Cricetulus griseus: one gene and its partners. The protein of the gene in region 2 interacts with the protein of the main gene of each other region in a pairwise test. Links are inferred from orthologs where the notes say so. Each region holds a gene or a part of one and is shown on either strand. Other genes may lie near its edges.

Region 1 (3,198 bases), on a different chromosome or scaffold from region 2:
TCGGGGACATTGTCTTCTATATCCTGTTGTATCCATCACCCTCCTTTCTTTCCTACAGACCGTGTACCGGCAGAGGAGCCCCCGGCCACAGCTCCTCTCCCTACCCACACCAAGCACGGGAGCAGAGATGGAAGCACTCAGACTGATGGCCCTGCAGACAGCACCTCTGCCTGCTTAGCCTCAGAACCCGAGAGCCTCCTGGGGTGTAGCAGCCAAAGGACAGCCTCTCTGGGTAAGCACCCTGCCCCCACTTCCCCTGACCCGTATATTAGATGGGGGCTGAACTGGAACACGTGTTTTCTCCAAACTCATCCTCCATGGGAAGCCCCATGGTATGAACCAAGGGTTGTTGGAGGCATGAAACCCTCAATGGGAGGCAGACCTATAGTTGAGAAAGAAAGCGCCTCATCAGAAGGCACTGTGCCTCCTCCAGAGTTTTCCTCACATATCCTGCTGGTCCAGATTTCTAAGATCATGGAGCTTGACAAGTGACCCTGATGGTGATCTTGAGTTGGGAAGCTATTGGAAGAGCCCAGAAAAGAGGAACTTGAGAAGAAGCCTTTTTTCCTTCTAGTCTGATCTCACATTTACCCTTGCATAGCTGCCTGTGTGCGCCTCATGATCTCAGAAAACCACAGGCATGACAAGAATGCTACAGCCTGCTTCTAACCCTGGGGGCACCCCTCCACTGATCACTCTAGCCAGTTCAGAGTCTAAACACAGGCATACTTCCTGAGCCATCTAGGCCCCAGCCGACGGGAGGGAGCAGAGCATTGGGCTTAGTTGACCAAGTTAAGAGGAATCTGAGGACTGGGACAGATTAGGGGAGGGAATCTGATGAAGAAAGATCCTTTCTTACTTAAAATGTGTTGAGCTGAATAGAACAAGTGGATAACACTCACAGCATAGACCTGTTGTCTTGTCTTTCTCCAGACTCTGTGGCTACTACCAGAGTCCAGGACCTGTCAGACATGGTGGAAATACTGATCTGAAGGAAAGAGGTGGTGCCTTGGGGACCCTGACGCCTGGCTTCCCCCTGGCATTCCAGCGGTCGTCAAATGCTGCGCCTCACTTTCTCCAACCATTGATAGTGTGGTGCATGAAGCTCAGAGAGGAACCCTAGAGGGGACCTAGAAAAGTCTGCAGCCCCAGAAGACTGCTTCTTGGCCCATATTCCTCCCATGCTCATGAGGAGGGAAGAGCCAGATTTCCCCTGCTGCCCAAGGTCTGTTGCTGGAGGAGAAAGGAGCTGAGCCCCCTCTGTCCTGCCCATTTGTATTCAGGCATGAAGGGAAAGGGAAGTGGATTCTGATTCCCAAGGATGGCTGAGCACCGATCTGGTGGTCTGCTGGAATAACCAGGCCAGCCATGGTGTTCTGTGGTTAATCGAGGCCCCAGCCAATCCCATCTGCTCTTCACTTCCTCACTGCCTTCTTCAGATCACTAAGACTGGGACTATTGGGAGTGTGAGTCTTTTGGGAACCACCAGCATGCCTCTCACTTGGAGAAGGTTAGAGGCCATTTGAGAGGCCTGCGGAACAGTGTGTTTTGTATATAATTCTCCTTCCTTGGGAACAGAAGACTAAGCATGCTGGTTCAGAGTCTCCTTCCAGGGCTGTGCTGCCTGCCCCCGCTGCCACGGTTCTTGAAACATCTGATGGGTCCACCAGATGTTCTTCCGCCTCCAGTACTTGGCTATGGAATTTGATACTGGTTGCCCTTTCTCCATTTTAAACCCCTGTGTTCAGTGCCCATGGGACTCTTGTCACCAGCCTTTCTGAATGGCTCCACAGCTCCTGTCCCTGGGACATCCTGTCCGTTTGGTTATAAACTGAGCCAGATGCAATGAGCCGCCACATGTGGACATCTTTCATGCCCAGCACCAGGTTCTCTTTGAAGAAACTGGAGAGGTTGTTCTCATAAGTGTGTTAGTTCCCACCGGCAGGGACTGGGAGAGGAAGCTATGCTGTTGAAAAATGGATCAGTGAGCTTAAAAAGACAAAAGTCCTCACTGTGGTGCCCCGTCACAAAAACGGCACCCACGAGGCTGGCTCCTCAATTTCTGGTGCCCCAGCCCTGAAGCAGGGCCAACTACTTGGAATTGGGTGAAGTATCCCCAACTGGCAGCCTACCAGCAGCAGTGACTTTGACTTTGGTCTTAAAGTAACCCCCATTCAGCTCAAAAAGCGATTGGTGGGTTTCAGAGCTTTTGTGTTTTCTCCTTGAATCTTTGGTTGTTTTGTTTGTTTTTCTTTCACTGTTTTCAAGTTCTGTTTGTTGTTTTATTCCCATGGTTCTCTGAGTTTCCTTTTTAAACATTTGCATTTGCTGGGCAATTGCATATTTTTTTAATTCCCCTACCCCTGTGTAAAGCTAAAAAAATACATCTGGTTCATGTGCATTGTTTACAAAGATAAAAGTAAAAAAAAAAAAAGGAGGGAAAAAAGGCAAAAAAAAATTGTGAAAGAAAAAAAAAACAACTTAATATATTTTGGATTAATATTTGGTATTTCTTTAAAGTATTTTTTGTTGCTGTGAACATTTTCTGCCAAAGACCATGACGTGTGTCTGTGTGTTTAAGTTATCATGAATATTTAAAGTGTAAACATGGCTGTTTTGTTACGCCACCCTGTACCAGGATTGCTGTTGCATTCCACTGGGTATGACAGTATTTTAATAAAAAAAACTTACAAGGAGAGATGTTTATATATTTATTCATTTGTTTATTGGTTGAGACACTGTATGGATCTGAGTCTAAGTTTGCCTCAAACTAGAAATTCTCCTGCCTTGGCCTCCCTACTGGTGTCTTTACAGGTGTGTGTGACCCACAGCTACAAGACTGGTTATTTGCAAGGATAAGGAAAGGAAAGAAGATGAATGTTTTAAAGGGTCACCCATGTCCACTCTCTTCAAGGATATTTTGTGAAGTGGCCTGAAGGACACTTGAAATGGCATAGCTGTCCCCATTTCCACACATGTGCACTTTCACAGACACCATCTATGAGAAGGGTAGACAGGGTGGGGCAGCTGGCTGCCTTTCCAGGTAACTGTCCTAACCAATTTTGATTTTGGTTGTTGTAGTAGGAGTGTTGAAACATTACCTACTCTGTCCTCTCACTAGCACACAACCTCTTTGCTAAAGGATCCAGGTGCCATGTGAACCCTGTGATTGGACACATGAAGTGTGTATTCCAGAGT
Region 2 (2,750 bases):
TTCTCCCCAGAACCACCTAGAAATAACAGCAATCACAGGATATCCTACAATTAGAAAAGCGAGGTAAAGAAATGGAAGAAGTCTATTTTTAAAGAAATGAAGGAAGTGTAAATGTCCTGAGATAACTCTGCAGGGTATCATGAAGCCTTATTTTAAGGATAAAGAAGCATACGTACACAGATTACTTCTAGAGTATGAAGCAGTAATTATGGACACATCAAGCCCACACACTAAACCCACTGGAAAAGATTTTCCATTGCAGTGCCCTCCCACACACACACACACACAACACCAGGCTAAGAAATTTGTTCCATGTGAGGCAGTTAAAGTCCTGAGGTATTTGTCCCTGGAGCCAAGCTCATGGATTGGCAGAATGGAATATGGGTTCGAGCTCAGAGAGCAATATAAGGAACTATATATATCTAGCCTTCTCATTCGCCATTTACATTCATACTCTACTTGTGTTCAGATGTAGAGACACCACCATTAAAGAAACACAGTTCAAGTCACTCAGGTTTAATGACCATTGGTATTACCATAAAGATAGCACTTTTGTCCCATTCAAGTCTGCTCATGAAGATAATCAGGTCACCTCTGCCCATCCAAAACATTGTTAACTGAAGTCTTCTGTACCCCAAACTTTTGCAAAATAGATCTCCATAACAAAAATAGCAAAAACAAAAAAAAATACATATTAATGTTCCAACATTGGTCTTTTAGGTCCAAAGGTCTTTATAACCAGGAAGAGCAGACTAAGCAAAGAAAAGAATTGGGCAACTGATACTGCTTTGACCTCAGTTTTCTGAGAGCTATCTTTCCTTAAAGGAGAGAATTAACCTTTGCCAACACTCACAGGGCGCAAAGTATTTCAACTGAATGTCACTTTTCCTGTGAGGGTCATAGCAATCTTTTGGAATCTGCAGCAAATTACCTCCTCTTTCCTGTCCCTGCAAAAGCAAACAGCTGGGAACTTATCATGGCAGGAATTCCTTGTGTCCAAGGAGGCTCCTAGCTTACTGTCTGAATGCTCTGTAAGAAGCTAGGGTTTCATTTCTTAATTCAAGTTCAATGTTGATGGAAAGACAGTAAAGTCACTGACTCTCACTCTCGGGCTGACCTTAGGCAGACAGCTTGAGCAAAAGAGGTTTCTTTTTAATCCCGTCCTGGCCCATATCAGATCACTTGGGAAATCTCTGAGGTCACATCGGTGCTCAGGACCCTCTCTAGGATGGTCACGAATGGTGGGCTGGTCCCTGGAACCAAGGTTCCAAGTTCTGGGATGAACTCTACCATGCCACAGCCCTTTGGACAAACCTTTACTATTTCTAACTTCCTGGTCTCTTTCTAGCTTGATTTTATGTCCCCAGAAAAATTAGGACAAAAGTAGACCAGACTCTGACAAGAAATACACACATAGTTATTGTGTATGTTCCAAAGTCAGATGAGCTCCTCTGGGAGTGACATTACTCCTAACTCCGAGCTAGGAGCATAATAAAACATCTTATTCCTAAAGACTCTCACCACTTCCCTAACTTGCACTTCTTAGCCCCAGCCTCTCTCCCTACTCTGCTCCACATACACACCCCCAGAAGATGCTGTCTCAACACCTGCAGTATCCCTAGAGCCCAAGAATAGGGTTGCATTAATGGCACTTGGCAGAAAACCCCATCCTACTTTGAACTGCTGTGAGTTCAACACAGTGAAGAAATAAGTGAGAATGTGAGAGACGAGGCGTAAAAATCTGAGCCTGCCCTTCCCACATAAAAGAGGCACAGAGATCTCAGGAGTTGGCAAAAGGCATCATCTCTTGCCAGAAGGCCACCAGCCCCCGCCACTTGGGAGCCGCATTATCACTTGCTTCTCCTCGGGACTGAAGTGTAAGATAGTCAGGATGGCTGTGAGCGTCTGCTGGCGGCCCAGGCTGTCCGGCAAGGTCAGGAAGCGGTAGATGATGTTTTTGAGATACTCCAGGTTGGCTCCTTCCCTGCTCTGGTCCCTGATGTTCTTTTCAATGTGGCTCTGGAGTGCTCCAACCTCCTCTCGGTGCCGCTCCCCCTCCTCCAGTAGCTTTTCCTGCAGCTGGTGGGCCTCCATCTCCAGCCTGTGTTTCTGCTTCCTCAGTGAGGTGATCTCCACCTCCTTTCGGGCCAACTGCTCAGCATAAAGGAAGAAAGTGGGCTCATTGGCTGCAGCGAGCTGCAAGGCTTGGGTCAGGCTATCTGAGGAAGCTGTGTCAGCAGGGTCCCCAAGACCTCCACCACCCACTCCACCCACAGGGCTCCTGCGCCCTGGCAACCCAGAGGACAAGGCCACGGAACGCAATTGCTCCAGCTCCAAGTCCTTCTCGGCAAGCACGGCCAGGGCCCGGTCCCGCTGCTTATGCAGCTCCTCCTCCAGTTTCAGTGTGCGGTCCCTGAAGTCCAGCTGGCTATGCTCCAGTTCCTGCCGATGGAGCTGCTGCAGCCGGGCCAGCTCCTGCTTCCAGTCCTCAGCCTCCTGCTGGTGCTGGCTTTCAAGCTCCTCACAGGACAGCCGCAGGGAGATATACTTCTCCTTCAGCTCAGCAAGCTGTTCCTGTGCTGCCTCCAGCTCCTTCGCCAGGCTCCCATCTTTGGTATTCTTGTTCTTGAGCACGACCTGGGCTCTCATCTTGTAGCGCTCAAACTCTTCCTTCAGCTGCTTCAGCTCCTGTTGGTAGTAGAGTGCAGTAGCCTTTTCCCCATCAGCAGCCTCTGAGCTGGGCATTATCT
Region 3 (3,500 bases), on a different chromosome or scaffold from region 2:
AACTCAGTTCTGAGAAAGAAATATAAAATGTGAAGACAGGAAAAATAGTCCAGTGAAGATTAAAATAAGGATAAGACACTACATCTGAGCCCGTGCGAAGGTCAGGACATGTGCAGCAAAGGTATCAGCAGGAGGGAGAGGGAGAGCATGGAAGAGCTTGGATGTACAGAGAGGGATCCAGAGTCTCAGGGAGGTGAAGTCTAAAAATCCTCTATGGTAGAGCTTTAGAGGAGGCAAGCTTAACAATAACAACAAATTTACAGGATTAGAAATGCGTAAGTCTGGGTATGGTAGCACATGCCTTTAATTACAGTGCTCAGGAGGCAGAAACGGGTGGCTATTTGTGAGTTCAAAGACAGCCTAGTCTATATACAGAGTTCCAGCCCAGCCAGGACTACAGAGTTAAACTCTGTCTCAAAAAAAATAAAATAAAATAAAATATGTAAGTGGCAGCAACATTCCAATTTTAGCAAAGTACTGTTAGCTTTACAGTTAAACAACAACAAAAGCCCAAGTCCAACAGATTTTCAAAACATGTAAAGAATATTCAGCTATTTACCTTTAAGGATGTCAGTTCATCTGCCCACGTTTCTATTATAGGAATAAGATGTTCAAATCCACAGTCCTGAACAGTATCTTTATTCAAGTTTTGGGCTCCTCCCTTTCTCTGCTTATAAATAATTACTGGAGTTCGAGGATTGTGGATAATTGAATTGATGCTGCACAGCACCTGTAAACACAGACAGTGTTTGTAGTTAAAATATCTGAGTCTGACACAGTGAGGATGGGAAAGGCGTGCACAGATGTCAACATGGCATCATTTTCAGACATTTGTAAATATTGTGGTAATGAAGTCTCATCAGCATAGATATACAAATTCTAAAGAAAACTAAATAAATTAATTTAGATTTGAAAGCGGTTAGCATCTATTATAATCCCACAGATTAATAACCATCTAGACATCCTTATCTAACCCTGAATGATTCCCTAACTCTGTCTCCTCATATTTAAGCTAAATATGATATTAAGGGGATCTTTCTATTTGTTTCACAATTTCAGTTGAAATTTCAAGTAAAGATAGTTACTAATTAAACCCCACTCATTCTACAGAGAAGTCCTGACGAGCCAGTCCAATAATTCTCAACAAATGCTATAAAACCCTGAGATAGGGCTCTCAGAGTATCTGCACAGGGTTTCTAGAGCTAGGAGCAAACACTGCTCTTCTCATCTGGCCAGAGCAAGCTACAGCAAACAGGTGCTGAGAATCTGACTTCTAATGCTTGTTCATAAGCAAGTTTTTGTTTTGGATTCATTTGTGTTTCAACATTTCACTTCTATTAAAAACTCATCTATTAATGTCAATTAATTGAAAAAAACATTTTCCTCCAAGTTATGAATCAAAGCAGGGAGACAGCCTTCTTTCCCCTGACACCAAATGTCAGGAAGCAGCTTCTCCCACCAAAATGGAGAGATTTTTTTTTACCCTTTGAACTTGAGCTGGTTTAGGGTCTATCTTTGGTTCACAGAATTTACTAAAAAAAATGTCATGCCAGTTTGAGTCTTTAAAAAAAAAAAAAAAGTTTGCTTGTTTTGTTTTTATTTTTTCAAGACAGGCATTCTCTGTATAACAGCCCTGGCTGGCTTTGAAATCAAAGAGATCTGCCTGCCTATGTGTCCTTAGTGCTGAGATTAAAAGTGAGCACCACCATGCCTAGGCAGAGGGGGAAATAGTTCTTAAGTGGTCTAGATCACTGTTTACACTCTGCTGCCACCACATGGCCAATTCCAGGTAGAACTGTGCAAGCCCATTCATCCCCATCGCTTATAGTTCACTCATCTTCCACAAGAAGAGCTCTAGTGACACACTATCAACTTATGGCCAATATCAGCAGATCTATATACTGTCCAAGCATGATGCTATTAAAGGGTACTTTAAGTCACTAAGTTTTAGAAGATGTCTGTCACATAGCAAAGATGAACTGGGCCATATGTGAACATCACAGTGGAGAAGAAGAAATGGGCAGCAAGAGAAGCCTGCCCCTTTGTCTTGTGATAGGGTAAGAATATACTCTGGCCAATTAGAAATACTGGACGAGAGATTAAAAACATGAAAACAACAACAACAAAAAGCTGTCTACGGCTGGAGGGCCACAGCAGTACAGCACCTAAGGGTGGGAGAAGAGTTCATATGAAGTTAGTGGTAAAATGCACTGCCCACAAAATAAATGCTGTGTTGTTAAAGGTCCCCATTTAGGAGAAAGGACAAAACTAAACATGTGCATGTGTGCACACACACACACTCCATGAAGAAAAGCAGGCTATATTTGGACATCATCCCCACCAAGGGCACCAGTGCTATAATACAGCAGCACCAGAAAGAAAGATGCCACCCTCATTCTCTCTTCTCACCCATCATCCACCCTTTACTATCATTCCTGGAAATGCCAAACTTTGGGGACCAGAAGAAACAATGGAGCAAGGAGAACACACCCATTGACCACATGGTAGAACAGGTCAGGTATGAGCTAGAATATTTTTTGACTGAGGTTTGAATGGATTATTTTAAATTGCCCAACTTTTCATTATAAAACATTAAAACAGCCAGGTATTGGTGGCGCACGCCTTTAATCCCAGCACTCAGGAGGCAGAGGCAGGTGGATCTCTGTGAGTTCGAGGCCAGCCTGGTCTCCAGAACGAGTGCCAGGATAGGATCCAAAGCTACACAGACAAACCCTGTCTTGAAAACCCAAATAATAATAATAATAATAATAATAATAATAATAATAATAATAAAATAAAACATTAAAACAAACCTGGCATGGTGTCACATGCCTTTAATCATAACACTACAGAGACAGAGGCAAGAGGATCTTTGGGAATTCAAGGCTAGCTTGGCTGGCAAGTTCCAAACCAGCCAGGACAACACAGCAAGATCCTGTCTCAAAACAAAATTAAACAAACAACCACCAATATTTTAAACAAACAAAAACTAATGTGTGTTAAACAGTGTTTCAGGCTTTGCAAGAGAAACAACACCAACAGGAAATGTATTTGTGTGTATATATAAGTGGGCCTTGTATAATCACTTGAAGGCTAGAATATCTCACACACACACACACACACACACGTGAGAGAGAGATCATATTTTAAAAAGAAAGATTTACTATAAGGAATTGGCTCATGCAATTAATGGAATCCCATGACTATCAGTTAGCAATTTGAGAAGAGACCCAGAATTGTAGTTCCAAAGCCCTAGAAGGCTGACACTTTGGATCAAACCTAAAGGTAGGAGAACTAACCAAAACCAAACAAAGTATGTTAAAAGCATGCATTAGAAATTCCCCCTGGGTCTTTTTGTTCTGTAAGTGACTGGATGAGATCCACCTACCACAGGAGTACAATGTATTTGTCTGCCATTCATTCACCCACAAGTACACTGTTTAACCAAGCATCTGGGCAATGTAAAGCCCAATCAAGCCGACACATAAAATTAGCACTCA
Region 4 (3,500 bases), on a different chromosome or scaffold from region 2:
ATTATCTGCTCTGATACTCTTATTACTAGAAAAAGATGCAAGAGTTGGAGTCTAAACTTCATGAAGAAGAGCAGGAAAGGAAGCGTATGCAGGCACAAGCAGCAGAGGTAAGTGGAATGGTGAACAGTTAAATAAGTGTTTCAGTGGTGAACTGTTACATATGAGCACACCAGATCTACATGTAGACCTCAAGAGATAGCTTAGTATTGGAAATTAGGAATGTAACTTTGCAAAGTAAAATTTGAGCAGTTCTTTGGATGTTTCAAATTATGAAGTCTGGATTAGTATTTTTAAAACCCATGAGGTTGGAGCTGGAGAGATGGTACAGAGATCAGAGCATGTGATTGTCCTTGCAGTGGACCTGACTGCTTCTCAGCAACCCACATGGTGGCCTACAACCATCTGTAACTCCAATTCCAGAGTCTGACAGTATTCTAATCCTTGGGCCCAGGCACATGCACGTACATAAATGCAGGCAGTTTTGTAATACATAAATCCATGCACATAAAATAAAAACCTGTGAGGTAAAAACATGTCCAACACAGAAGTCTTAGACTCTGTAAGATAAAGTTATTTTGTATTTTAACAAGACACACTTTTCTCTATGGTTATTTGCTCAGATATTTCCTAGTCTCTCTTTTCTATCCTCTTTAAGATTATGCTTATGTTTGTAGCTTTTATCATAGTAACCCAAAGGTCCTGATCTGAGAAGTTTGCAATTAAGCAATTAAGCCTATGGCATCTGTCTAGTGTCCTGCATTCTCACAGCTTCCGATGCAAATACTACAGTCTCTTTCTTTTATTGCTTCTTTGAGTCACTGATTGTATATGCCTATTTCTTATTAAACCTGATATGATTTATAGATTTACTTTTCTCTGTGTGCTTACTGAGTTAAATGGTCACTTAACCATTTTTGATCTTTAGTGAATTTGTTGTGACTTTAGGGAAAACTATTTTAAGATGTCTCTATTCCTTACATGTAACATTGCAAAAGTATGAGGTTTTCTTTATTAAATTATAGTCTATAGTCCTTATATGCTAAATAGAAAGTTTCACAAATTCATTGATTGATGAATTCTTACCAAGTTCTGATGATGAACGCTATGGTAGTGGAAGGCAGGTGGTGAATAATGATATTTCTCTATCTTGCTGTTCTGAACAGAGTATTTAGCCATCCAGATCCTGGATTTTATAGTGCTAGGGAAATCAAACAAGAAGTGATCAAAAGTAGCCCTTAAGTAGTTCATTTGTTACTGTTGACACTTGTTGACAGTGTAAGTATTCCAGAAGGATAATACCCTGTGGAATTATGTCTAGTGTGTCGTGCTTCTGAGGATGGAGAGTTTAGCATTCTACTGCCAGGGACTATGCTGTCCTAAGAGTGCATGAGATAATGAAGGGATGTTTTTAGTGTTCCTTGCATTTCATTCATTACTGTGCTGTTTCTGAAAACTCAGTCATGATTTCTGGGAAACTTCCCTCATTGTGAATTTTTAAACTCTTTGGGGGGAGGAAGCTGGTCATTAGAATTTTTACCAAACTCCAGACTATTTTTGATGTATAGAAAGATAACCACTTTCACAGATTTTTGGAGAGTGGGGCTGTTGAAAAATAGTTTAGAGAAAATTGCAGCTTCCGCCTCTGCCCCCCCCCAAGATTTATTTTTATTTATATTGTGTTTTGCTTACTTGTCTGTATAGAGCACAGTCAGTTTAGAGCTACATGCATTCCATTTCATTCCTGAAGTAGAATCTGCAGAGTAACTACCAGTAGTAGAACAGTGCTTCCAAGCAAGACATGATCAACTATAGATCAGCAGTTCACATAAATGAGAGACTGAAGACATACTGTATAGTCATGCCATTGCTTTCAGTGAGATGACTACCATTGTAGTTATAGACTTATTTATATGGCACCTCAAATGTGGATTGTAACTTTTCTCTTAGATCATTAACTCTGTTTTTTTTTTTTTTTTTTTTTTTTTTTTTTTTTTTTTTTTTTTTTCTAGTTGCAGACTGGTCTAGAAGCAAATAGACTTATTTTTGAAGATAAGACAACTTCTTCGTATGTTGCAACCAACACTAGAAAAATTAAAAAAAAAAAGTCAAAACCACCAGAAAAGGTATGAAAATTGAACTAGTTAGTCTTACCAATTTTGTGTAATAATTTGTGTAAACAACACTCAAGCCATGTGGTATTAGGATCTTGGGAGAGTGAGTCTTTCATTCTTAGTTTCTGTACTAAAACCTGAAGATAAATAAATTTTACTTTTGAATACTTAACCCTGGTAGTGAGGGCCCATATGAAAGCATTGGGAATTACCAAAGAACATACAACTGGGAATATTCAGCTGTGTTCACTACCTTTGACTCTTAAAATGCTTCTTGAATACTGTTCCTCTACTTAACTCTTGATAACTGTTTTGTTAGTACTCTGCCTTCCAAGCAATATTATGAGTCCCAATATAAACAAGTGTTATGGTTTAAATGTGAAATGGCCCCCATTAAGTCACTAGAAAGCAAGCCTTGAGATTCTGAGCCTGGCCCACTTCCTGTCCTCTGTCTCTGCTTTCTACTGTTTGGTACAGTCTAATGAAAATCCACCCAACCCAGACTACTGTTGCCATGTGTTTTCCATGATGAGTTGTATCTTATCAAACTGTGGGCCAAGTAAATCCCTTCTTAAATAGCTTCTTGAAGCCTTGTTGCTATTTGGTCACAGTAGCAAAAAGGGACCGGTGTAGCTAATTATCCAATCAGTAGTTTCACGGTGAGCTGGAATCTTGGGTTAGTTCACCAAATTAAATGAAATGGCTTTTTTTTTCTCCTTCTAGAAAGGTCCTAGGAACTATTTTGGTGCACAGCCACATTACAGATTGTGCTTAGGCGATATGCCCTTTGTTGCTGGAAAGGTGAGTTATAGCTATTGATACTTATTTTTAAATTACTTCAATGTCTTTTTTTTTTTCTTTTATGTATATGGGTGTTTTGCCAACCTATATGTCTGTGTACCATCTGTTTAATGTCCACAGAGGCCAGTAGAGGGTATGGGATCCCCTAGGACTAGTGCTCTAGATGATAGTCAGCTGCCATGTGGGTGTTGGAAATTGAACCTGGAATTCCAATGGAAGATCAGCCTGTGTTCTTAACTGCTGAGCCATCTCCAGCCTGTTTCAGTCTTTAGAACACATTTTAGGGGTTATAAGCAGAATTTGAACTTTAAAAAAAAAAAATCCTTCTGCCTCATCACTTCTGGGATTATAGGTATGAACCACCATACCTGGCTCTAGGAAAACCTTTTAGAAGGCACAGCCTACTATTTATAAAATCAACTCAAGGAACAAGTTTTCTCCTGACTTTGTATAAGCCTCTATAAGTATGGTTGTGAAGTTATTTTTTGTTATATTTTGATTAGTGTGTTTATTAAAAACATTGTTTTCATTGTGAAAAAATGAGGGGGCACCAATGCATGTGGAGAGGTCAAGGTACAACTTGAAGGG
Region 5 (4,116 bases), on a different chromosome or scaffold from region 2:
GACATCCACTTTCTGCTGCAGACAACCTTGGCCAGGATACTGAATCCTGTGCTATCATAAGCCACGGGTACTGCTTACCTGGGGCCTCACTGGGAGCCAAGTTTGGCTGAGTATAGGGGCCTATTCCAGGTCCCACAGAGTCTCCATGTGAGTGCAGCAGGGCCACATCCACACTGGGTGGTGTCTTGGTCTCAGATCCAACTTGGGTTCCTCTGGCCTGGCAGAGCTGAGAGGCAGCTCCAGTGGTGTTTAACTCTGAGCTCTGGGACAGCCGTGGTGACATCTCCTTGCCCCATGCCCATTTCACTGCTAATGCACTGTCCAAAAGGAGAGCTCTGCAGCTGGAGTCTGTGTCCATGGTGAAGTCATGGCCCTGGTCACAGCCCCACACAGCCTGGATGATGCCACAGTACTCAGAGGACAGTGTCCTCTGGAGGCTGGGCAGAGACCCACAGTTGGCTGCATGTTCATGTACCCAGCCCACCAAGCTGTGCAGACACCGAGGGCTCGAGGTGATCAGATCAGCTGAGGAGAATCAATAGAGATGTCAGTCTCATGGTGGCCAACACTAGGCCCAACCTGGAATACCCACCCTGGCACGAACAGCACTCACCCATACATGCTCCCTCCTCTGCCACTGTGGGAGGCTGAACACCAACCCTGCAAAGCATCAGTGTGGCCACAGTTTAGGAGCCTCTCAAGGTCACAAACCTCCCCAGGAGCCCTCCACTTCTAATGATAGCTCTTCACCCTCAGACCTCTGCAAACCTCACTGCAGCGCCATGAGAGGCTTATACTGGCTTCTGTCCACCCCACAAGTCACTGCCCTACATCAACACCCAGAACACAGGATGATGACCCCAGAAGGTCCCAAGAAATCCAACAAGGGCCTACTTTGTACAAGGCTTCCGCTGGCCAGCCGGGGAGACATTGACTCTCTGTAAGAAGGACCTGAGAAGGCTGTGGCACTGATAGAACTGGGTGTAGCAGTTCTTGCAGACAAACTGAGGCAGGGCTGGGTCCTGGTGCACAGCAACACCCAGCAGACGCTGGAAGTCCCTAATGAAGACACGCTCCCCTGGGGACAGTCTCTCTGAGGTCTCCCCAGGTACTCTGTCAGAGATACTGCGGAGGCTCCGTGAGGAAAACTTCCCATGGCAGAGGCGACAGTGCCCCATGGCAAGAGTTCGGCCTGCTCCTGAGCAAAGAAGCAAATGTGACAGTAAGTAAGATACTTACAATGTAAGGACCACACTTCCCACTAGCCTCCCAGCATCTAAAGCAGAGAAATGCCCTCCATGGGCTTCCTAAACACACTAACAGCAGGGCTCAGGAGCTGGCCTTCCTCACTGAACACTCAACTTTTGGAGGGATACTGTTAATAAATCTTTCAAATACTTTTTGAGGTGGGGTCTCACTGTGTAGCCCAGATTGGAGTACATAATCCTCTCCCTCAGCCTTCCAATGCCACTGTGCCCAGCTCCTTTCAAAGAACCCCAGATGCCTCCAGTGAAGATGAAACTTAACTTTTGCTCACACATCCTGATCCTGAAAATGTGTCTCAGCTGTGCCTCAAGAAACTGACTTACTGCCCATCCACAGGTGCCCTGTCTGCAGACTGTGGACAATGCCACCTCATTGCCTGCCCCTAGGGGGACTAAAGAACAGCATGCATAGGAAAGTCATTCTCAAACCGTTGAAGAGCACTACATAAATGTGACACGCACTGATGCTGTTACCCTAACCAGCTGCTGCTTATACACAAACTCTCGGCCAGACAGGGAACAAGTAGTTCACTTAACTGAGTAGCCACCACAGGTTGTGAGTCTGTTTCAACCAACAAGAAACTGGGATTCAGAGAAGTTAAGCAATGCACCCTAAGAGTAAATGGCACGGAGCGCTGACTTGAAGCCCCACACCTGTCTGACTTCAAATCTTAAGCACTAAATAGCAGCGACACAGGGCAGGAAAAAATCGGCTGTCTGGCCAAAAGTCGCTGCAATAGAAGTCAGAGGGCCCGAGTCCTCCGGAACTTGAAGGCCTGGTTTATTCTCAGAATCACTAGGCTCACATCAGGGCCAGAGGACGCCCGGAACCCACCTGCCTCGTCGGTACCGTCCTCGCCTGTGTCCCCGCAAGAGCGCGTCGAGCCCCAGCTGAGTTGTGCTGCCGCCAAAGCCGCCGCCCCATCAGCGCTGGCTGCGCCGGTGCGAGAAGGGCGACCCCGAGTCCGACCGCTTCCACAGCTGCCGCCCGAACTCCCGCGCTGCCGAGCCGTCCCAGGCGACAGGAAGCGGCCAAGCCGGTCCCGCTTCATGGTGGCGGCCGCCACTTGATAGATTCCTGCTCCGTGCTATTCGGTGTGGCTCGGCCCACTCGGTTCTGCTTGACTGGACTCGACTCCACTCACTCAGTACCGTTCGTTCGGCTGCACTCCGCCCGGCTACTCGGCTCCGCTCGTTTCACCGCGATCTGAGCGGAACGAAGCGAGGGGTGGAGCGATGTGAGAAGCGGCCCCGGAGCGACTGCGGCCGCTGTTGTGTCGAGAGCCCAGAGTTCTTAGGGTCGCTCAGAACTCGCGACAAGCCCATAAAGGAGGGGCGGCAGGGAGGGTAAACTGCCACGGACTGAGGCACGGGCTGTGGCACTTAACAGAAAACCGCAAAACCAGAGATTCTTTCCCACCAATTATCTGGTCAAGACTCAGAGCAAGTACGCCCTGAATAGCTGACAAGACCCACCCGTCCCCTTATAATCTCTAAACCTAGATCTGCGCGGCGGGGCGGGGCAGACGGAAGTGTGTCAGGGTCCCTTCCGGCAGTGTGCTGTTCCCGCGGCTCCCTCAGCTGCGCACCCCACGTTCCGGTTTGGAGGCGCCGGCCCCGCCCCTGTCGCCGCGGCCTCCCCCGCCCGGCGCCATGGCCGCTGCGGCCGGGGACGGCGCGGCGAAGCCACTGCAAAGCGCCATGAAACTGGCCAACAGGGCCATCGAGCTAGACACCGGCAACCGACCCCGGGTGAGGCTGGGAGGGGCGCGGCAGCAGCTCCGGGAGGAGGCACCTGGTCCGTGGTGGGCAAGGGCGGGCGTGTGAGGGGATCCGCGCTTCGGACGCGCGCGACAGCTGTGGGACCCCGCCCGGGGACTCTCGGCCGGACGGGCGGCTGTGGGTGCTCTGCGGGGAACTCGGACAGCTCAACTAGCACTTGGTCTCAGGTTTATCTGTTCAATGAGTCGGTGAAATAGAGCTGCGGTTCTCTTTGCAAAGGACCTGTGAAGCAGCCCTCCAGGATGTAGATGACAGACGTGTGTGTGTGCTAGTGTGTGTGCGTTCTTGACACTGTATAGACTTAATCCAGAAAACACTGACTGTTGGCTCCTTATGCTGCTGTTTGCAGTCGCCTTCAAAGGTCATCTGTAAAGAAACGCAGGCACAGAAGGGGTGTGGCCTGTCACTGAGGATGAATGCTAATTAAAAGGATGTCAACTAGGTGGAAGAGCTAGCTGAGCTACCCTTGGAGAGGAAGAATCAGTGTCTGTCCAGTTCCCCAAGTTGGTTTTCTAGGGCATCAGGTGCTCCCCACAGGACCAAAATCCTACCTGAAACCCATTTAACCCTAATCTGTGAAGTGTTGAGTTAATTGAAGGTGGGTAATTTGACAATGAATAAAACAAAACACATACATTCCAGAGTGCATTCTATCCTGAGCTGTCACAGAGCTAAGGGCAGAGGGGTCACCCAGTTGAAACCTGCAACTCTGGAGTCTGGAGAGTGTTGTTTCTCACAACATAAGCCACGATGTGAGATTGAGAGATGAGCGTTTATTCTCTCTAAGACTTCCAGGAAATATTTTTCATAAGACATGGAAAAACTACTGATCTTTGAGTTGCACAGGAAGGGGACTCTGTTATACAGAGTGGGAAATGGTGTCACTGCTGAGGATGCTTTACCAAGCCTCATGACTTAAGCTCCAATGTGTCTAGCTGGGAACTCCCTAATGCAAAAGTTGTAGGCAGAAATTCCCTGATTTTGTTCTCAGATGCAAACATTTTTTTCCTTCAAGTCTAGACAGTGGGGATACTGCCCCTGTCCTAGGTGGACCATCACTGAAGTCTAG
Region 6 (3,524 bases), on a different chromosome or scaffold from region 2:
CACATTTATTTTAGGAATGAATATTGTGTTCTTGCTGTTTTTCTTTTTTTAAAGTTGGGGTCTCGATTTGTAGGCCAGGCTGGCCTGGAACTCACTATGTAGAGGAAAGCCGGCCTTGATTTCACAGAGATCTACCTGCTTTTGCTTCTTCTAATGCAGGGATTAGAGATATGTGCCACCATGCTCAGCTTTTGTTGATTTTTTTTTTTTTGTATTTCAAGTGTATCTGTAGAATATAATCAAAGCTGAAAACCAGGAAATCTGTTTCAATGATGTCATTTTTTCTGCCTATGAAATGAATGCCTTATGTGGATATGTGTTAAGGACAGGCTTTGAAGATACTGCATCAGAATATCAAGTAAGGAGTTGCTCTCTTTTGCTGTGTTTACTATGTGAGATTTGATACATTGTTACTTACTGTAAGTGTGGCTTTCCTACTCTTAATAAATGTGCTCTATTTTTATGTTTGTGCTCAGAAAAAAAAAAAAGAAAACACACTGTGATGATGCAAGCCTTTAAAAAACACTTTATTAATATGTTTCTCACAACTAGGGGAATCTTATTTACCAAGTAACAGAAAAATCCTTATTTTCCAGAAGGAAAAAGCACCAAGAAGCATGGCGCACCCTAACTGCTGAGTGCCAGGACTACTGGTTTCCAGAGTCTCTGAGCTCTACATCACCTGAACCTAAAGTTTTCAGAAATTCCAAATCCAGTGACTCCTGAATGACACACAGCAAACACTACTACTCCTTATACATACACACTCCCTTAGCTTATCAGCATAGACATTCCCTTTCAACTAAACAGATCAAGATTAAATACACAATACCACCTTTCATGAAGCAAGATGAGTAATTCTGAAGAAGAGCAAACATGAATGTACTGGTTGAATCAGTAATCCATTCTTTGTTCAGATGGCTTCTGGTGTCCAATAATACTTTAAAACCATTCTTCATTTATGAGAGAAAAGTACGTACAGTCCCCTTGATTGTACCCCGGCAGATGGGGCACTTTCTCAGAGAAGGGGCACATTCCTGGCAGACTACCAAATGACCACAGGGAATGAACACAATAGAAACCTCTCTGTCCATACACACTTTGCAAGTTCGTTCCTCTTGCAACCTCCGCAACTGCTCTTCCAGCGACAAGCCTAAGAAAGAACAAAAAAGAACATTAGTAAAATGCAACTTCTAAAAAGTAACAGAAATAATGTTGAAGTACTAACTGTACTTTACCTGAAACATCTTCTGTTGGAATATACTTCATATTCTTTTCCACTGAAAAAAGAAAGCATACAAAAATCATTCATTTTTTCAAATCTACTGTTTTTATATAGATTTTTGCTACATATTACAAAGAATACTACCTAGACAGTAAAATACACCAGTATTTTTGGAACAGGTAAAATGTAAAGATTACAGTTTTAACTGGATTTATTCTGCTTGCTCAACAGAGAGATGAACAAAACCCTACTGGTAACTAAATAATTTCCCTAACAAACTCACCAAATAAGTTTTCATATAATGTGGAGTCGATTTCCTTTAGACAGTTTTTGAAGATGTTGGCTGCAGCATTTCCTTTGACTAAAACGGTGTCAATCAGCTCTCTTGCTTGTAAGGGTATCTGTGTTTTCTGTCTAATAATATCATGTTCCTGTTTAGTAATTACACTGGCCTCAAGAAGATTATCCAGGATAGGAAGGACACAGGTCAACTGCTGAAAGAGAGCCATTCTATTCTTCCGTATTAATGACAAGTCACCTTCAGTTAAAAACAAGCAAGGAAAAAGTTCCGTTAAATGTCAAAGGCCCCAAGTATACCCAATGACCCCTATGCACAAATTAGGCACTAAATGGAGCTTGAAGGGGAAGGAAAATGACTTGTTTGCACCTCCATACTGCCATCATAAACTTCCACATTAAATTCAGATGTCCCACACAGCACAAATACTTTCAAGTCTAAATGCTAATGGACCTGGACCCATGTCTGTAAATTGTTGAGAACAAGCAGAAAACTTTAGAGAGTAGTAAAACATGTGCCCTCTTTTTCTTTCTCTTTCCCCACAATGGAGTTAAAAAGTAATTTATTTTTATCTGTATTATATCTCTTTATTGGTTATAAGTACAGGCACACAAACTGTCACATTCAAAATGTCAGTTAAATAAGCCAACTATCTTCCAGAGAGGGAGCCTTAGAACAGCATGAGTGGCTTGTCAAAGACCACAAAATGAGTTGCCAAACCAGTCCTAAACTAGTTGAGTTTTTTGGTTTGTTATTTACTGAGACAGGACCTTATGTATCCAGGCTCCAAATGGAGCCAAGGATAGCCCTGATCCTCATGAGTATCTTCTAGGTATTGGGATTACAGGCATGAACCATCAAGCCTGGTTTACACAGTGCTGATGTCCTTTCTGAGACTCCACACCATCTATGAACTACAGCACTCAAGAGCTTAAGCGACAAGTCAAGATGGACTTTGCTGGCCCAAAGGCAAGTCTAGACACTTCAGCCATGTCCCCCTGCTATACACCTCAGCTTTCCAATCTGAAATATGAGTAACAACACCTTCCTTACAGAGTTCAATAAAATGCATTTTATTACCTTACATTACCTGGTGCATCTTGTAAATCTAAATTTATAGTGCAGCTTTAAAAATTGAATCTAGCTTGTTCATAACAGATAACCTCACTTCAGAGGTAAGAAACCTTAAGTTTAGTTGAATGAGCTGCCTACCTGCTAACCAAAAAAATGCCAGAACTTAAATGTAAATGTGTATCAATCCAGAAGTTAGAATTTTAAACATTTTGATATATGGTCATACAATAAGGCTGTCCTGAACTAGTTAGTCCTTAAAAAAAAATCATTTTCTTCCTTGGGGGGTGGGGGGTGGGGGATGGGATGCCACCGTGTGGGTCCTGGGCATCAAACTCAGCCATCAGGCTTGGTAGCAAGTACCTCATTGGCCTGAACTATTTCTACCTTTATTTAAGGACAAAAGTGTTTTCTAACCTAATACCTCAATTTACATTACACATACAACCTTCACGTCTCTGACAGCTTTTAAGTTTTTTGTACCGTGTGTGTGTGTGTGTGTGTGTGTGTGTGTGTGTGTGTGTGAGAGAGAGAGAGAGAGAGAGAGAGAGAGAGAGAGAGAGATTCAGTACCATGATGTGCATATAGCCATCAGAGGACAACCTGCAGGAGCTGGTTCTCTCCTCCTACTGTGTGCATCTCAGGTACTGAACTAAGGTTATGAGGGTGGACAGCAAGCACCCTTTTCCACTTAGCTGTCTTGCAGGCCCTCTGCTAGCTCTCTGATTCTGTCTTTTGAACCAAGTTTCCCCAGCTTTTACATGTTCCTTGAGAACAATCATCACTTTCACATTATTTACCTCTGCTGTTTACATATTTAAACATATGAAAATATTTGTTGAAAATGTAATTACTCAGAAGACATGTTCTGGGAGGTTAAGATGTTAAAAAAAAAAAAGTACACAAATATCAAAATCATTATATACTGTC
Region 7 (3,500 bases), on a different chromosome or scaffold from region 2:
CCCCAATTCTTGCTGCCAGTCCTGGGCTTCAGTTTCCCCTTGGGGCTCTGAAGAGAGAGACTGGGGGCTCCTGGGACCTAGGGGCAATGGGAAACCTGGGGGCCTCAGTCTCAGCTGGAGGCAGCCAGAGCATAGAGCATGCAGCATGGCTCTTCTCGTTGCTCTCCACCTCTTTTCTGTACTCCAGACTCCTAGCCTGAGTCCTCACCCCACTTGTCCTGAGCTTGGTGCCTCCAGTGGAAGAGATCACAAACCCGATTGGTTGTCAGGAGCCCCATGTCCTGCCCTGGCTTAGGTCCTGATTTGCTCTTTGATTTTGGTTACACCATTCCCTGGGTTTGAGTTTCCTGTTGAGGCAGAGTTGGAGAGTGTCAGAGACCTCTTTCCACTCTTAAGTAGCAAGAGTTTAAAGGCTTACTGAATTGTCAGAACCAAGTGCTCTCCCATTCCTCTCTTGGCTATGCAAGATACAGTCAGTTCTTAATTCAGCACACTGTTCCAAGTCCCCAAGTTGGCAGAAGGTAGTCTTCTTTCTCAAACTCGTTTCTAGTGTTACTGTCCTTTAACTTGGACCCAGATTTAAACCTCTGTTGTATAGTTGTGAATGAGAGGCAGCCAAGACACAGACTGTAGTTTGTTGGGAGCTTGGGAAGTTTGTTGGTTCATGTGCCCATGGGGGTCTGAGCACCTTTTTCAAATCCATCCCCCTGCTCTGTCTTGGTATGGGGTAGCATAAAAGGGGCTAGCCCCAGTCACCTTCCTTTGACTCTTCCCACAGAAACAACAGAACCAAGACACTCTGGATCAACTGGAAAAAGTACTGTGGTTTCTGTGTTTGCTCTTTTCATGGCTGATGGGGTTGTGGGAGGCCTCAGAGTTGCAGATTTTGGTCTTGCTTGATTCTATCCTGGAGAAGACTCACCCCACAGGGTGTCCTCCATAGGATCCTTGATAACCTGTCCTGGGCCACTGGTGGCTTTCTGGGGCTCGTCCATTGCTGGGATTCTGCTTCCCTGCTAAGAACTGCATTTCCCATGCCTGCAGGAGAAGAGGGATTATCAGCAGAAGCTGGCAAAGGAGCAGGGAGCTCTCAGGGAACAACTGCAGGTGAGTGGCCTGTGTGATATCCCTATGTCCCCCAGAGAGCATCTCTCCTTCCTCTCAGCACTTTTGGGGGCTTTTCTTCCAAAGGTTCACATTCAGACCATAGGCATCCTGGTGTCTGAGAAGGCAGAATTACAGACAGCCCTGGCTCACACACAGCAAGCAGCCAGGCAGAAAGCAGGTAGGATCAGAGCATTCTTCAGCCTTGTGCTGACGCCTTGGCAGGCCTGAGGGAGGGTCCCTGGGGCTCCATGTAGACGGCTCTCATTTCAGGAGAGTCAGAGGATCTTGCCAGCCGCCTGCAGTCTTCCCGACAGCGTGTGGGAGAGCTAGAGCGGACGCTGTCTACTGTGTCAACGCAACAGAAACAGGCGGACAAGGTAGGACAAGTTGCCTGTCTGGCCATCAGCAGCTTCCTGGTAGACAGTGAGCTTACAGGACTTTTCTGCATGGTCTAGTGCCTTGCTGCTGACAATTTAGCATGAGCTGTTTGTTGCTGCTTTTGTTGTGAGGTTGGAAGAAGCAAACTGGGGAAGAGTCCACAGCTGGGTAACTGAGGGCTGCACAAGTGAGCTCTGGATGCAAAACCTAGAAGCAGGCTATGACCTCAGCTGGCTGTAACCTTGGCCAAGTGCTGATAGAGGGGATATAGCCCCTGGGCTGTGGAAGTACAGAAGAGCTTATCACTGTGCCACTGTGGGTAGGGTAGTGTGTGTACAATACATGTAGAGTATGTTTGAGATGACTGACAAACTCGGAGCTGGGAACAGGATGACAATCGGGAGGCATTTTGCTTCTATACCCTCTGAGTTTTGGATTGTGTGAATAGACCATCTGTTCAGAAGAGAGCACAAGATCCAAATAGAAATTAACTTTCTTCCTCTTAATTGCAACTCTGGGGGAAAGGGCCTAGAGATTTAGATACCCCAAAATGCTCAAGTTCCATCTCTGCTAAGTGACTTCAAGCCAGCACTTTTGTACACTGTGTTTCTGCCCAGTGGGGGTGACAGCAACTGTTGTCAATGGGTGTGAAGATTGGATAGGTTAGCAGTGAAGTGCTCAGTGCTGTAAATGCCTCAGCCTCCACGTGCTAAGATCAGTCTAAACCACCATGTCCTGGTCCCAGTCTTTTTTCCTGCCTGCTTTGTGCTTATGGAGTTCTTTGTTTGTTTGTTTCTTTTTTTTTTATTTTTCAAGACAGGTTTTTCTGTGTCACCCTGGCTTTCCTGGAACACTCTCTCTGAGATCTGCCTGCCTCTGCCTCCTGAGTACTGGGATTAAAGGTGTGCACCACCACCACCACCACCATCACTTGGTACAGTTCTTTTATTTATATTGTTAAGGTTTATTTACTTTTTAAAAAAAAAAAAAGATTTATTTATTATGTATACAGTATTCTGCCTACTCACCAGCAGAGGGCACCAGATCTCATAGATGGTTATGAGCCACCATGTGGTTGTTGGGAATTGAACTCAGGACCTCTGAAAGAGCAGCCAGTGCTCTTAATCTCTTTTATTTTGTGTGTGTGTGTTGCTTGACTTCATGTATATGCACCTCAAGCATCACTGGCGCCTGCAGAGGGCACTTGGATCCCCTGGAACTGGATTCACCATGTTGGTGCTGGAAACCAAACCCAGGTCTTCTGGAAGAACACCTGGCCCTTTTACTGAGTTTTTCCTTTTTTGTTGTTGTTTTGTAGTCCTGAATAGCTTGGAACTCAGAGAGATCTGCCTACCTCTGCCTCCCAAGTGCTGGAATTAAAGGGTTGTCCCACCACAGCCTGGTTCAGGAGTTCTTATTAAACAAAACAAAAGGAGTGTGTGTTGGGGGGTTGGGTGTTTTCGAAGCACTCAGGAGGCAGCCTGGTCTACATAGTGAGTTCCACCACAACCAGGGCTATATAGAGAGGATCCTGTCTCAAAAAATAAAAAATTTAAATAATTCTTTTTTAATAAAGAGTGAGCCAGATGGAGTGACACATCCCTGTAATTCTAGCACTTGAAAGAGAAAGGCCAGCCCCGTCTGCCTGAGACTGTCTCATAAAACCAAAATAATTGCTGGGAAGGTGACACATAGCTGTGATCTCAGCATGGGGAGGCCGAGACAGGAGGGTTCAAGGCTAGCTTGGGCTATAGTATAGATTCTAGGCTTGCCTGGTTGCTTAGACCCTGCTTCAGGAGAAAAAATGAAAGAGAGCTAGTGTATGATTGGTCAGTGATAGAGTAACTGATTAGCCTATACAAGAACTTGAGTTTGGTTCCCAGCTTTGTAAAAAAAATATTATTAATTAAAAACAAAAACAGGGCTGGAGAGATGGCTTAGCAGTTCAGAGCACAGGCTGCTCTTCCAGAGGATTCAGGTTTGATTCCCAGTTACCCACATGGTGGCTCACAACT

The links.
Region 1: the proteins of Gcc1 (region 2) and Amotl2 interact in a two-hybrid assay, tested with the Homo sapiens proteins (2 studies listed by BioGRID and IntAct). The two-hybrid records come from large-scale screens. The link is inferred for Cricetulus griseus from reciprocal best matches to the Homo sapiens genes GCC1 and AMOTL2.
Region 3: the proteins of Gcc1 (region 2) and Cep70 interact in binary tests that used the Homo sapiens proteins (3 or more experiments, as listed by UniProt). The two-hybrid records come from large-scale screens. The link is inferred for Cricetulus griseus from reciprocal best matches to the Homo sapiens genes GCC1 and CEP70.
Region 4: the proteins of Gcc1 (region 2) and Cep57 interact in binary tests that used the Homo sapiens proteins (3 or more experiments, as listed by UniProt). The two-hybrid records come from large-scale screens. The link is inferred for Cricetulus griseus from reciprocal best matches to the Homo sapiens genes GCC1 and CEP57.
Region 5: the proteins of Gcc1 (region 2) and Znf276 interact in binary tests that used the Homo sapiens proteins (3 or more experiments, as listed by UniProt). The two-hybrid records come from large-scale screens. The link is inferred for Cricetulus griseus from reciprocal best matches to the Homo sapiens genes GCC1 and ZNF276.
Region 6: the proteins of Gcc1 (region 2) and Birc2 interact in binary tests that used the Homo sapiens proteins (3 or more experiments, as listed by UniProt). The two-hybrid records come from large-scale screens. The link is inferred for Cricetulus griseus from reciprocal best matches to the Homo sapiens genes GCC1 and BIRC2.
Region 7: the proteins of Gcc1 (region 2) and Golga2 interact in binary tests that used the Homo sapiens proteins (3 or more experiments, as listed by UniProt). The two-hybrid records come from large-scale screens. The link is inferred for Cricetulus griseus from reciprocal best matches to the Homo sapiens genes GCC1 and GOLGA2.

What each region holds. Positions count from the first base shown.
Region 1 is NC_048597.1:210,972,776-210,975,973, forward strand, and holds the end of Amotl2 (angiomotin-like protein 2), read left to right. Parts: intron 1-58; coding exon 59-232; intron 233-933; coding exon 934-992; 3' UTR 993-2,698; downstream 2,699-3,198. UniProt on the Homo sapiens protein: Regulates the translocation of phosphorylated SRC to peripheral cell-matrix adhesion sites. Required for proper architecture of actin filaments.
Region 2 is NW_023276806.1:199,375,520-199,378,269, reverse strand, and holds the end of Gcc1 (GRIP and coiled-coil domain-containing protein 1), read right to left. Parts: coding exon 1,801-2,750; 3' UTR 501-1,800; downstream 1-500. UniProt on the Homo sapiens protein: Probably involved in maintaining Golgi structure.
Region 3 is NC_048597.1:207,720,005-207,723,504, reverse strand, and holds part of Cep70 (centrosomal protein of 70 kDa), read right to left. Parts: intron 731-3,500; coding exon 560-730; intron 1-559.
Region 4 is NC_048597.1:127,272,900-127,276,399, reverse strand, and holds part of Cep57 (centrosomal protein of 57 kDa), read left to right. Parts: intron 1-29; coding exon 30-107; intron 108-2,009; coding exon 2,010-2,123; intron 2,124-2,834; coding exon 2,835-2,912; intron 2,913-3,500. UniProt on the Homo sapiens protein: Centrosomal protein which may be required for microtubule attachment to centrosomes. May act by forming ring-like structures around microtubules. Mediates nuclear translocation and mitogenic activity of the internalized growth factor FGF2, but that of FGF1.
Region 5 is NC_048596.1:199,920,088-199,924,203, reverse strand, and holds the start of Znf276 (zinc finger protein 276), read right to left. Parts: upstream 2,801-4,116; 5' UTR 2,318-2,800; coding exon 2,101-2,317; intron 1,199-2,100; coding exon 895-1,198; intron 661-894; coding exon 614-660; intron 526-613; coding exon 79-525; intron 1-78. Other genes in the region: Vps9d1 (VPS9 domain-containing protein 1), read left to right, coding at 2,919-3,017. UniProt on the Homo sapiens protein: May be involved in transcriptional regulation.
Region 6 is NC_048597.1:122,200,282-122,203,805, forward strand, and holds the end of Birc2 (baculoviral IAP repeat-containing protein 2), read right to left. Parts: intron 1,764-3,524; coding exon 1,509-1,763; intron 1,281-1,508; coding exon 1,239-1,280; intron 1,154-1,238; coding exon 960-1,153; 3' UTR 501-959; downstream 1-500. UniProt on the Homo sapiens protein: Multi-functional protein which regulates not only caspases and apoptosis, but also modulates inflammatory signaling and immunity, mitogenic kinase signaling, and cell proliferation, as well as cell invasion and metastasis.
Region 7 is NC_048599.1:144,032,367-144,035,866, forward strand, and holds part of Golga2 (golgin subfamily A member 2), read left to right. Parts: intron 1-778; coding exon 779-817; intron 818-1,044; coding exon 1,045-1,107; intron 1,108-1,191; coding exon 1,192-1,285; intron 1,286-1,377; coding exon 1,378-1,484; intron 1,485-3,500. UniProt on the Homo sapiens protein: Peripheral membrane component of the cis-Golgi stack that acts as a membrane skeleton that maintains the structure of the Golgi apparatus, and as a vesicle thether that facilitates vesicle fusion to the Golgi membrane.